Callithrix jacchus: one gene and its partners. The protein of the gene in region 1 interacts with the protein of each later gene in a biochemical or structural test. Links are inferred from orthologs where the notes say so. Each region holds a gene or a part of one and is shown on either strand. Other genes may lie near its edges. The genes, in order: CLTB, HIP1 and HIP1R.

The links.
Region 2: the proteins of CLTB (region 1) and HIP1 form a complex in vitro, tested with the Homo sapiens proteins (2 studies listed by BioGRID, with this or other methods). The link is inferred for Callithrix jacchus from reciprocal best matches to the Homo sapiens genes CLTB and HIP1.
Region 3: the proteins of CLTB (region 1) and HIP1R form a complex in vitro, tested with the Homo sapiens proteins (2 studies listed by BioGRID). The link is inferred for Callithrix jacchus from reciprocal best matches to the Homo sapiens genes CLTB and HIP1R.

Annotation. Positions count from the first base shown.
Region 1 is NC_133503.1:70,816,385-70,820,029, reverse strand, and holds part of CLTB (clathrin light chain B), read right to left. Parts: intron 1,967-3,645; coding exon 1,849-1,966; intron 1,652-1,848; coding exon 1,540-1,651; intron 1-1,539. UniProt on the Homo sapiens protein: Clathrin is the major protein of the polyhedral coat of coated pits and vesicles.
Region 2 is NC_133503.1:10,475,877-10,479,521, reverse strand, and holds part of HIP1 (huntingtin-interacting protein 1), read left to right. Parts: intron 1-1,725; coding exon 1,726-1,801; intron 1,802-1,913; coding exon 1,914-2,054; intron 2,055-3,327; coding exon 3,328-3,425; intron 3,426-3,645. UniProt on the Homo sapiens protein: Plays a role in clathrin-mediated endocytosis and trafficking. Involved in regulating AMPA receptor trafficking in the central nervous system in an NMDA-dependent manner. Regulates presynaptic nerve terminal activity.
Region 3 is NC_133510.1:126,013,620-126,017,993, reverse strand, and holds the start of HIP1R (huntingtin-interacting protein 1-related protein), read right to left. Parts: upstream 2,931-4,374; 5' UTR 2,822-2,930; coding exon 2,729-2,821; intron 1-2,728. UniProt on the Homo sapiens protein: Component of clathrin-coated pits and vesicles, that may link the endocytic machinery to the actin cytoskeleton. Binds 3-phosphoinositides (via ENTH domain).

The DNA of each region.
Region 1 (3,645 bases):
TTTCTCTCTGCGCCCTTTGAGGACATAAGACTGGGTCTTCCTTATCTCCATCTCCTTAATGCCTACCCCAGAGCCTGGCATGCAGCAGTTTTCTGGACAGAAGGGTAGCTGTCTCCTAGAGCAGGCCTTTCCCTTCCTGGAAGATCTTGGACCCTGAAGAGGGTAGCCTAAAAGGCAGGGAGCACTGGGCAGTATTCAATCTGAGACCATTTCCACAAAGGTGTTCTCTGCTGGGCATCTGCTGTCTTCACCTGCCCAGCATTCATGCCTCTTCTTCCAGGAAGGGCACCCTGACTGTCCTCTGCTGGAACAGGTTGCCCCAGCTTCGGTCCCTGTGGTTTGAGTGGGACTGATCCCTATGCACAACCCAAGGAATGGGACTATCACCCAGACTAGGGCCCCCTGGCTAGTCACTGGGCCTGGCATGGTCCAAGCCAGTGAGGGTCGGGCCGAGGACTTGAGCTGGAGCTCTAGGGCACAAGATGCTATTTTCACTAGGGCTGCCAAGAGAATAGGGCAGAAGCCTGGAGTTGCTGCTGGCCATCTTTCCCTCCACACCAGGGTGCAGGCCCGACAGTGAAGCGCAGCTGGAGGAAAGGACAGCGGGCGCAGTGAGTGAGGGTGGATGGACTTCACTGGAGCCCCTCGCGCCCCAGTGCCCACCATCCTACCCCTGGCCTTTGTAGTTATACAGCCTGTGATTTTTTTTTAATCCTTTAGCCACTCAGGGTGGCATTTCTCCAGCAGTAAAATCCCATTCACAAGTCTCTTCTTCACCCTCAGTGCAGCTTGTGCTGTCTCTGATCCTAACTCTGGCCACAGAGGGCCACACCTCACTGTTGGCTGCTGAGGCCTGGACAGACTTGCTGGCATTCCAGGGCCCTGGGCCCCTTTAGCTGCCTCGCAGACTCAGCTTCCTCTTGAAAACAGGTGAGGCCTCCATGGTGGAGCAGCTCCAGGGGGCCCTGAACTCCACGAGCAAATGAGGAAGCAGCCCTGGGGTTTCCCTTCTTCCCTGCTCCCATCACCAAACCAGCCCCTCCAGACCGTCCCCCATACCACAGTCCCCTCACGTCCCATCAGCTGCCCCCCATATCCCCACAGCACCCTTACATACCCTCTTCCCCCTCACTTCCACACGACCCCTCACATCTCCACAGCCCCCCCATGTCCCCACAGCCCTCTCATGTCCCATCAGCTGCCCCCCTATGTCCCCACGGCCCCCTCACGTCCCCATGGCACCCTTACATCCCCTCTGCCCCCTCACCTCCCCACAGCCCCCTCACATCTCCACAGCCTCCCATGTCCCCACAGCCCCCTCATATCCCATCAGCTGCCCCCCCATGTCCCCACAGCCCCCTCACAACTCCACAGCCTCCTTATGTCCCCACGGCCCCCTCACATCCCCACAGCTGGCTCCCTCATGTCCTCAAGACCCCCTCAAGTCCCCATGGCCCCCTCATGTCCCCACAGCCCCCTCATGTCCCTCTGGCCCCCTCATGTCCCTCTGGCCCCCTCATGTCCCCACAGCCCTCTCACCGGTTGTTGATCTTGTTCTTCTCTACTTGTTCACTCTGGCGCTGGTTCCACTCCTCCAGGTCCTTCTTGGCCTTCTCCCGCCACTCCTGTTCTGTCACCTTAGATGCAGCATCTGGGACCCCACAGGAGAATGAGCGGCTGCTTTCCAGCTGGGATGCACAGGCCTGGCCACCCTGGCTGCTCCTCCCCTGGCCCCTGCCAGGCACCTCAGGGTCGCCCAGGCCCAGTCCCACATTAAGGCATGCAGGGTTCCATGCACTCCCAGGCCTCCCCACACACAGCCCACCCCCACCTCAGGCCTGCCCTCACCCAGCTCTTGCAGCCGTTTCCTCTGCTCTTCTCGCCACTTTCGGATGCTCTCAGGCTCCTGGGTCAGCCTGTCAGCCTGAGCAATGGCTGCGTAGCCGTCAGCAGGACCATTGGCCTCCTAGAACACAAATACGCAGCAGTCTGCCCAGTTGGCACACCCACCCCGCTGTCTCTGCTGCCCCTACTGGGGCCCTGCTCACGTCTGGGTAACTCAGCTTCAAACAACCTCATACCCACTGTCTCCGGTGACTATGCCTCCCTTTGCCTTTGCTGTTCCCTCTGCCAGCAACACTCCTCCACCTGTGTGACTGCGGGCAAGTTACTCACCCTCTCTGTGCCTGATCATTGCCCTCAGCCCAGTCATAGGTTTTGATACCCTCCAAGCAGGAGACTCAAGAAACCGTGTGCTAGCCACTTTCTTTGTCATAAAATGGGCTAAATAACAGTATGCACCCCAAAGGGAGGACATAAGGATGAAAGGAGTTAAAATTATAAAAAGCTTAGAACCCTGCTTGGCATAGTGAGTCCCTTGTTCTACGGTCATTAAAATCACTCTCTATTGTGGTTCTGTTAACTCCTAACACTTAGTCCTCACTTTATCTTTTCTTTTTTTTTTAAATTATTTATTTGTTTTTTTTTTATTTTTTTCTTTTTCTTTTTTTTTAAATTGCATTTTAGGTTTTGGGGTACATGTGAAGAACATGCAAGACTGTTGCATAGGTACACACATGGCAGTGTGATTTGCTGCCTTCCTCCCCTTCACCTATATCTGACATTTCTCCCCATGCTATCTCTCCCCAACTCTCCACCCTGTGTTGTCCCTCCCCTATTCCCCCCAACAGACCCCAGTGTATGATGCTCCCCTCCCTGTGTCCATTGTGTTCTCATTGTTCAACACCCACCCATGAGTGAGAACATGTGGTGTTTGATTTTCTATTCTTGTGTCAGTTTGCTGAGAATGATGGTTTCCAGGTTCATCCATGTCCCTACAAAGGACACGAACTCATCGTTTTTGATGGCTGCATAATATTCCATGGTGTATATGTGCCACATTTTCCCTATCCAATCTATCATCGATGGGCATTTGGGTTGGTTCCAGGTCTTTGCCATGTAAACAGTGCTGCAATGAACATTCGTGTGCATGTGTCCTTATAGTAGAACGATTTATAATCCTTTGGATATATACCCAGTAATGGGATTGCTGGGTCAAATACAATTTCTATTTCTAGGTCCTTTCTTTTTTTTTTCTTTTTTTTGAGACGGAGTCTAGGCTGGGCGTAGTAGCTCACACCTGTAATCCAAGCACTTTGGAGGCCAAGGGGGGGCGGATCACCTGAGGTCGGGAGTTCAAGACCAGCCTAACCAAAATGGTGAAACCCCGTCTTTAAAAAAAAAAAAAAACTAAAAAGAGAGAAAAAAAAAAGAAAGAGATGGAGTCTCACTCTGTTGCCCAGTCTGGAGTGCAATGGCGCAATCTCGGCTCACTGCAACCTCCACCTCCCAGGTTCAAGTGATTCTCCTGCCTCAGCCTCCCAAGTAGCTGGGATTACAGGGGACCATCACGACACCCAGCTCATTTTTTGTATTTTTAGTAGAGATGGGGTTTCACCATGTTGGCCAGGCTGGTCTCAAACTCCTGACCGAAGGTGATCTGCCTGCCCCCACCCCCCGCAAGTGCTGGGATTACAGGCCTGAGCCACTGCACCCGGCCTAAGAGGACCTGACTTTATAATGTGTTTATCTGTCTGTCTCTGCCATCAGAACATCATCTCTGTCCTGTTCACTGCTACATCCCCA
Region 2 (3,645 bases), about 60 Mb from region 1:
ATAGGGTGAGAGCTGGGAGGACGGAGGGAGCAGAAAGGGCCTCCTGGCTTCTGTATATGTGCGTCCTCTTGTTTTTCCTGTTGATTTCCTCACCCTTGGCCATAGCTCCCAAATGCCAAGTTCCAGCTTCTCTGGCCGCTTCCCCGGGAGCGAGCAAAGGACGAGTGTGTGGTGGTTCCCACCTCCTGGTGCCTCTGTTCCATTTGAGAAGCCGAGTACACATTCCAAGATAAATGGCTTCTTTAGTCCCAGGAGACAGGCCCTGGGGCTGATTTCCTGGAATGTGAAATTCCGGTAGCTTGCGAAAGCGCTCAGCCTGTTACTGTTGGCTCCAACCCAGCAAGATGGGGACGTGTGGTCAGGTGATTTCATTTCCTTTCATTTTCTTCTCGCTTATGAAAACATCTCCCCTGAGTAAATGGGAGCAGCCTTGCTGTTTCGCACAGCCACAGCCATCTGTCTGAGACCTCACTGTCCTTGAATTCAGGGGAAGTGGCAGTGATGTCACAGAGACCGGCCTACGTCTTGGTATCTGACAGGCTGCAAGGAGACCCCGGGGGGTTCATTTATTGGGCTAAGCTGGAGAAAATTCTGTGTTGCAGGCCGAAGGAGTTAAGGCCCATGTTCCCCTTTTATCTGAGAATAGATAAGTCTGAGCTGGGCATGATGGTTCCAACTACTTGGGAGGCTGAGGTGGGAGGATCGCTTGAGCCCAGGAGGTCAAGGCGGCAGTGAGCCATGATCATGCCACTATACTCGAGCCTGGGTGACAGAGTAGGACCCTATCAAAAAATACTTAAAAGTAATAAAGATAAAGAATATATACATCTGGATACTCTCAGCTTTCTTGGTCTTCAGTGTTTAGATTCAAAATAGATATTTGAGAATGAGAAAAAGATTTGCCAGGTGTGGGGGCTCACGCCTGTAATCCCAGCACTTTGGGAGGCCAAGGCAGTAGGGTTGCTTGAAGCCAGGAGTTTTGAGACCAGCCTGGTCAACACAGCAAGGCCCTGTTTGTACCAAAAAATTAAAAACCAGCCAGGCATGGTGGTGAATCCCTGTAGTTCTAGCAACTCGGGAGACTGAGGCAGGAAGACCGCTTGAGCCCCGGAATTTGAGGCTGCATGGGCTATGAGAAAATGCTGGTTTCTTCATGTGCGTGTCCACCCACGGTTAGGACACACTACCAAGCAACTGAAACACTCCAAGTGTTTACTGAATGGCTCCCCTGTTCCTGGCACTAGGGCAAACAGCTCAGCAGAGCTCGGTCCCTACTTCCCGGGAACTTACAGTGTAATTGTGGAGAGAACAAATAGTCCAGAAACAAGGAGAAGTAATTAAAGAAGAGCTACCTCTGTGATTAAATTCCCTTCCCTTCTCCTATGGTTACTTGGTTTATCCTCAGAGAAAGTCAATTTCTATTAATGTTACTCTAAACCAAGCACTCCTAGGAAGTTAAGTCTGCAAAACAACAGCATTTATCTACAGCAATGAAGAAACCGGCTTTCGGATTACCTCCACTTCCAGGATTTGTAGCACGAGCTACTCTTTCCTTACCACCAGGTCCCTGAGGACCAGCTTTAACTAATCCTTCTCTGTAGCATCATAATTGAATCCCAGTGCCATGGAGTTCATCTCCTTGACAGCCTGGGCCTTTGGGAAGGCCAGGTGGCTGCTCTGTCCCTTAAGGCACCCAGCAGCCCTCAGGCCCTTCTCCACCCCTAGGTTGAAAGATCTCTTCTACCGCTCCAGTAACCTGCAGTACTTCAAGCGGCTGATTCAGATCCCCCAGCTGCCTGAGGTAAGCGTGCCTGTCTACCTACCCTGGGCACTGCAGAGGCCCCAAGTACCCTCTTAGAGGCTGTCAGGGCCTGGCAAGTGAGCACTGTTTGAGGATGTGTCTCCGTCTTCAGAACCCACCCAACTTCCTGCGAGCCTCAGCCCTGTCAGAGCACATCAGCCCTGTGGTGGTGATCCCGGCGGAGGCCTCGTCCCCCGACAGCGAGCCAGTGCTCGAGAAGGATGACCTCATGGACATGGACGCCTCTCAGCAGGTGAGGACCAATTGGAAGAGGAACTTGGCCTTTCCTCTTGCCTCCAGGTACAGGGGAGAGGCTGGGGGAGACCCTGGCCAAAGCCCATTGACGCTAACCAGGTTCAGCCTTCTCTTCACCTAGTAGCAACCTTGGCTGAGCATCCTGCCCTGTGACTCCCAGAAGGATCATAAACGGGTCTGGATGGGTGCAGCGGCTCACAGCTATAATCCCAGCACTTTGCTAGGCCAAGGTGGGAAGATTGCCTGAGGCCAGTTCAAGACCAGCCTGGGCAACATAGGAAGACCCCATCTTTACAAAAATAAATTAGCCAGACGTGGTGGCACATACCTGTGGCCCCAGCTATGCAGTGAGCTATTATGCCACTGCACTCCAGCCTAGGCAAGAGGACAAGAGCCAGGACCTAAATAAATAAATAAATAAATAAAACCCAAAATAACAAAATTAGACAGGCATGGTGGTCTATACCTCTACTTCCAGCTACTCAGGAAGCTGAGCCAGGAGTTTGAGGCTGCAGTGAGCTATGATTGTACCACTGAACCCCAGCCTGGGCAGTAGAGTGAGAACCTGTCAAAAAAAAAAAAAAAATAGGCCAGATGCAGTGGCTCACTCCTGTAATTCTCAGCACTTTGGGAGGCTGAGGCAGGTGGATCACCTGAGGTTGGGAGTTCAAGACCAGCCTGACCAACATGGAGAAACCCTGTCTCTACTAAAAATACAAAATTAGCCAGGCGTGGTGGTGCATGCCTGTAATCCCAGCACTTTGGGAGGCCGAGGCGGGTAGATCACGAGGTCAAGAGATCGAGACCATCCTGGCCAACATGGTGAAACCCCGTCTCTACTAAAAATACAAAATTAGCCAGGCGTGGTGGTGCATGCCTGTAATCCCAGCACTTTGGGGGGCCGAGGCGGGTGGATCATGAGGTCAAGAGATCAAGACCATCCTGGCCAACATGGTGAAACCCCGTCTCTACTAAATACAAAAAAAATTAGCTGGGCATGGTGGCGCATGCCTGTAATCCCAGCTATTTGGGAGGCTGAGACAGGAGAATCGTTTGAACCCAGGAGGCAGAGGTTGCGGTGAGCTGAGAATGAGCCATTGCACTCCAGCCTGGGTAACAAGAGCAAAACTCCGTCTCAAAAAACAAACAAACAAACAAACAAATCGGTCTGAACCAAACAGAACAGGGCCATCCTCCCATGTCGCTCAGCTGACCCACACACAGTTCTCCGGCTCTCTGACTTACTCTCGCTCCGTTTTGGTCAACCACAGAATTTATTTGACAACAAGTTTGATGACATCTTTGGCAGCTCATTCAGCAGCGACCCCTTCAATTTCAACAGTCAAAACGGCGTGAACAAGGACGAGAAGTGAGTCCAAGCTGGCTTCAAGCAGATGGTATAGGAGCTAAGTTCAGCCATGGTCTGCCTCAAAACAGTAACCAAAGAGGAGGGGCTACTTAGACAAAGAACATCTTGAAGGGTCGGGTGCTGTGGCTCATGCCTATAATCTCAACATTTTGGGAGGATGAGGCAGGAGGATTGCTTGAGGCCAGGAGTTCAAGACCAGCCTGGGCAACATAGCAAGATC
Region 3 (4,374 bases), on another chromosome or scaffold:
TAGTGCTCCTGCTCAGCACAAAGTGCTGTGGTCAATGCAAGACAGGCAGCGTATTACAAAGGAAGCCAGGTCCCTGGACTGGATGTGCTATTTTCTGTCCCGAAGGAGACACGGAAGTAGCAACCTCAGCTCTCCAGGTCCTTTTCCACCAGGGGCCTGGCTGCTGGCTCACTCGATTATTTCTGGGAATGATCTAATTAAATATTAACCACGTACAAAACCTCATTCTTATATTCCTCAGTAAGTCACTGTGAAGATGAGCAAACCCAGACAATGAACACAAACGCCATCTTTCCAGAAAAGGGACCTGGAATAGGTGAGTCCCGTGAGATTCACTCATTACAAAGTTATTCATTGTATATGACCCTCTAAGCCTTTGAGAAAAACCCAGAGCAAAATAAAATAAAACAATCCACCTTTGGCCAGGCACCGTGGCTCATGCCTGTAATCCCAACACTCTGGCAGAGGTGAGGCAGGTGGATCGCCTGAGGTCAGGAGTTCAAGACCAGCCTGGCCACCATGGTGAAATAACATCTCTACTAAAAATACAAAAATTAGCTGGCCGTGGTGGCGTGTGCCTGTAGTCCCAGCTGCTTGGGAGACTGAGGCAGGAGAATCGATTGAATCCAGGAGGCAGAAGTTTCAGTGAACCAAGATCACGCCACTGCCCTCCAGCCTGGTAACAGAGCGAGACTCCATCTCCAAAAATCAAAAAACTACACACAAAAATTAGCCAGGTGTGGTGGCACACGCTTTGTAGTTCCAGCCATTCAGGTGGCTGAGGCAGGAGAATTACTTGAACCCAGGAGGCAGAGGTTGCAGTGAGCCGAGATCATAACACTGCACTCTAGCCTGGGCAACAGAGTAAGACTCTGTCTTTAAAAAAAAAAAAAAAAAAATCCACCTTTCTGTGTACCAAACAAACCACCAAAATGTGTGGTCCTGTATCAGATTCTCTCTTTGACATTCAAGAGGTTGCCCTTGGCTTCTTATTTAAGCGTAAGATCAATGAACTTGGTCCTTCACATTCCATCTCCTCCATGTAGCAATCAGACCTCTTTATACCTCAAGAGCAGGAGAAAAATCTAAAACTCAGTCAATAAACAGTTTCTCCCATCCAAGTACTAACCAGGCCCGACCCTGCTTAGCTTCCGAGATCAGACGAGATTCGGCGCGTTCCGGGTGATATGGCCTTAGACCAATAAACAGTTTCTTAGAACATCCAGATCTGTCTGCCAACTAAAGTTTTCTCTCTATGATCTACAAGTTCCTGGCACAATTAATTATGTATTGGTGACTCTAAATTAAATGCCATACTTTAAAATGAAGGGCTATCGGGGCTGAACCAGATGATGGTGGTGATGATGATCACAAGAATAAACTGATAATTTGCCGCCAGGTGGGTTCCAGCACTTGGCATTTCTAAAGCCTTGATATCCTCAGGACTTATCGCTTTCAGGGTCAATCCCAAGCACAAAGGCTATACGGTCTTCCTGCGTTCTCTCTCATTTCAAAACGAAAGCTGTAGTAAAGTGCATTTGCTAATTAGATGTGAAGGCAACCACAGGAGTCAGGGCTCTCCGCAAGGACAAGTGGGCCGGAACTTGCAAATAGCCACAAATGCAAATGTCACCAACCTGCTTTAGATAGGGGTGGGAGGGGTCCTCTGGCTTCCTTTATCTCTGGAGTAAAATTTTTCAGCCATTTCAGTCTTGGTTGACTTATTTTGGCAAATAAACAAGTATGCCCCCCCTCCACCGCCCATCCCCCAAGCCTGAGAATATTTCAAGAGTTTGTCAAATACAAAGCAACAGGAAACCAGAAACGCAGCAACGTCTCCATCGCGGGTCCCCGGCACAAACACAAGTACAAAAGGCAAACCCGCGCCCTCATTTAATGTCTAAAATCTTCCCAGGATAGGCATCATCTGGAAGAGACGCAGGCGTGGGAGGGGCAGGAAGGGAGCCCCAGGAAGTTTCTGTCTGTCGGGCGCCGGTGTTTAATGAGGGGGTGTGCACCTATTTATACGTGGGCAGCGCTCCGGCAAACAAGTCTGGCGACATACGAGAAGCTTCACCCAGCAAATAATAGGAGACTGTGCAGCCCTGGGAAACCACTCACGAGAGACGGAAGCTGGGTGTTTAAGGAATTTCCTTTAAGGAAACTGCCCGTGGGGGCATCAGTTTCAGGGGGTGGGAGACCGCGGCAGGAGCCGGCAATAAGCCGTACCGAAGGGCGGAGACCCACAGTCGGAACGCGCCGGCCCCGGGAGCACCTGGACCCCGGGTCCCCTCGGCCCCCTGCGCGCTGGGCCCGCACACACCTAACCCCGGTCCCACTCCCGTCCCCGGCCCCACCTCCGTCCCCGGCCCCATCTCGGTCCCCGGCCCCACTCCCGTCCCCGGCCCCATCTCGGTCCCCGGCCCCACCCCCGTCCCCGGCCCCATCTCCGTCCCCGGCCCCATCTCCGTCTCCGGCCACCTCAGCCCCGGCGCCTCTGGGCCCGAGCGCCCGGCGGGAGCGGGGAGCGCGGCTTCCGGTTCACCTGCGCTCCGGGCGGCTCGGGCCGCGGAGGCCGGAGGGGGGCGGCCGCGGAGCTCTCGGAGCGCCCAGGCGGACCCAGGCCCCGCTCCCGCGCGGTCCCCAGCCCCTGCGGGGCGCCTCCCGGGCCCCGGCGGTTCGCGCGTGAGTGAACAGGGACGCCGCCCGCCGCCCGCCGCCCGCTCGCCTGGGTCTTGTCGAACTGCTCGCGCTCGGCCTCCAGGCTGTGACCCGGCCTGCGGCTCAGCACCCGCGCCGGCACGTTCTTGATGCTGTTCATCCTGCTGCCACCGACCGCTCCCGCTTGGCTCCGTCCGCGCGACTCCGCGCCTCACTGCCCGGCAGCCCCTGCCTAGGCACCTCGAGGCCGCCGCGCCGCACCAGGGCCCGCCCGCCGGGGAGGAGCCCGCCTCTCCCCGCCCGCCGCGCGCCCCGCCCATGCGCCCGCAAACGCCGTGCCCGCCCCCAACTCCAGAGCGCGCCCCTCCCCCGCACACCTCCAACCCCACCCCCCGCGACCTGGGACACACCCCTCCCCCCCGCACGCCCCCACCCCCCGACCCGCGGCGACCCCGGCACACGCTCCGCCCCCCGCACACCTCCAACCCCACACCACTCACCAGATTGGGGCACAGGCCAAACGCCCCCAGCCCCTCCCCACCTCTAATCGCCTCCCTAAACCCGGAGAGAAGGGCAGGGGGAAGCGGAATCCCTCCCTCCGGTAGGGATCCCGGCCAATTCCCTCCCCTCTCTTCCCCGAACTCACTAAGTCTTGTCTACACCAGGGCAAGATCTGGTTAATTGGAGAAAATCTGGCCTCCATGATTCTGGTCGGTAGCAGCACAGATAGACTTTTTTTTCCTTTTTGGTCTTAATGTATGTGTCAAAAGACACACAATGACATTCTCCCCTCTTTGTGCATCTCCGACACAGCTGCAGCTGTTATCCACGCAGGGATGCAGGATGCATTTCCAGAGACGCGGCCGGCTCCGCAACCGGACACCTCGCCAGCTCCAAGGACAATGGGGGCTGAGGCCAGGCGGAATTAGGCTGGGACAGAAGGCGAGCGGATCTGAACGACAAAGTACACACCAAGGAGTTGCCGCCGGGGGTGGCATGAGGTTTTTTAAAAAACATTATTATTATTATTGGCTTCCCCTTAAAATTACTGGTCACAAGAAGTAAAAAAATAGAAGCCCAGAGTCCTTCCTAAGCGTAGCTCTCAGATGAGTATTTTGTTTCTGCTGTTTCCCTTTCCTATCAGAATGCAGATGTGGACTCGTGCATAAAGATCCCTTGCTTTTGAAGGGGGACGGATCACCTACCTACCTGTAAGAAGGAAAATGATGCCCACAGAAGCTTGACCCTTGTCTCCCTGGTGAGACGTAACCTGTCTGAGATCAGGGACCCTTTTCTTTAACCTGATTCCTCACTCTCCAGCCCAAGAGCTAGAGCTGACGCCAAAATGTACAATTGCCAAGGCTGTCTCACTCCACCAAAAGGAAATATTAATCCTGTTTTCTCTAATTCCAACCACTAAAAAGCTTCTTTACCAGAACAACAATAAAATCACAATAGCTAATATGTATTGAATGCTTATTATTTGACAGGCCCTGGGCTCAACCCTTTATATGTAAAGGGTTTTTAATCCTCTGCAACTTGGTCAATAGCTGTGGTGAAATAAAGACCACAGTCAAGGGGCTTCTTTGCTGTACTCCAGCTATTTATCACACTCCTATTTCCACATGGAACAAAAGTGGTTCTCATGTGACCCTTCACGCATACACAGGGTCCCTTTTCAATCAGGCAGCAGCCCCATTGGGTCTAGCACAT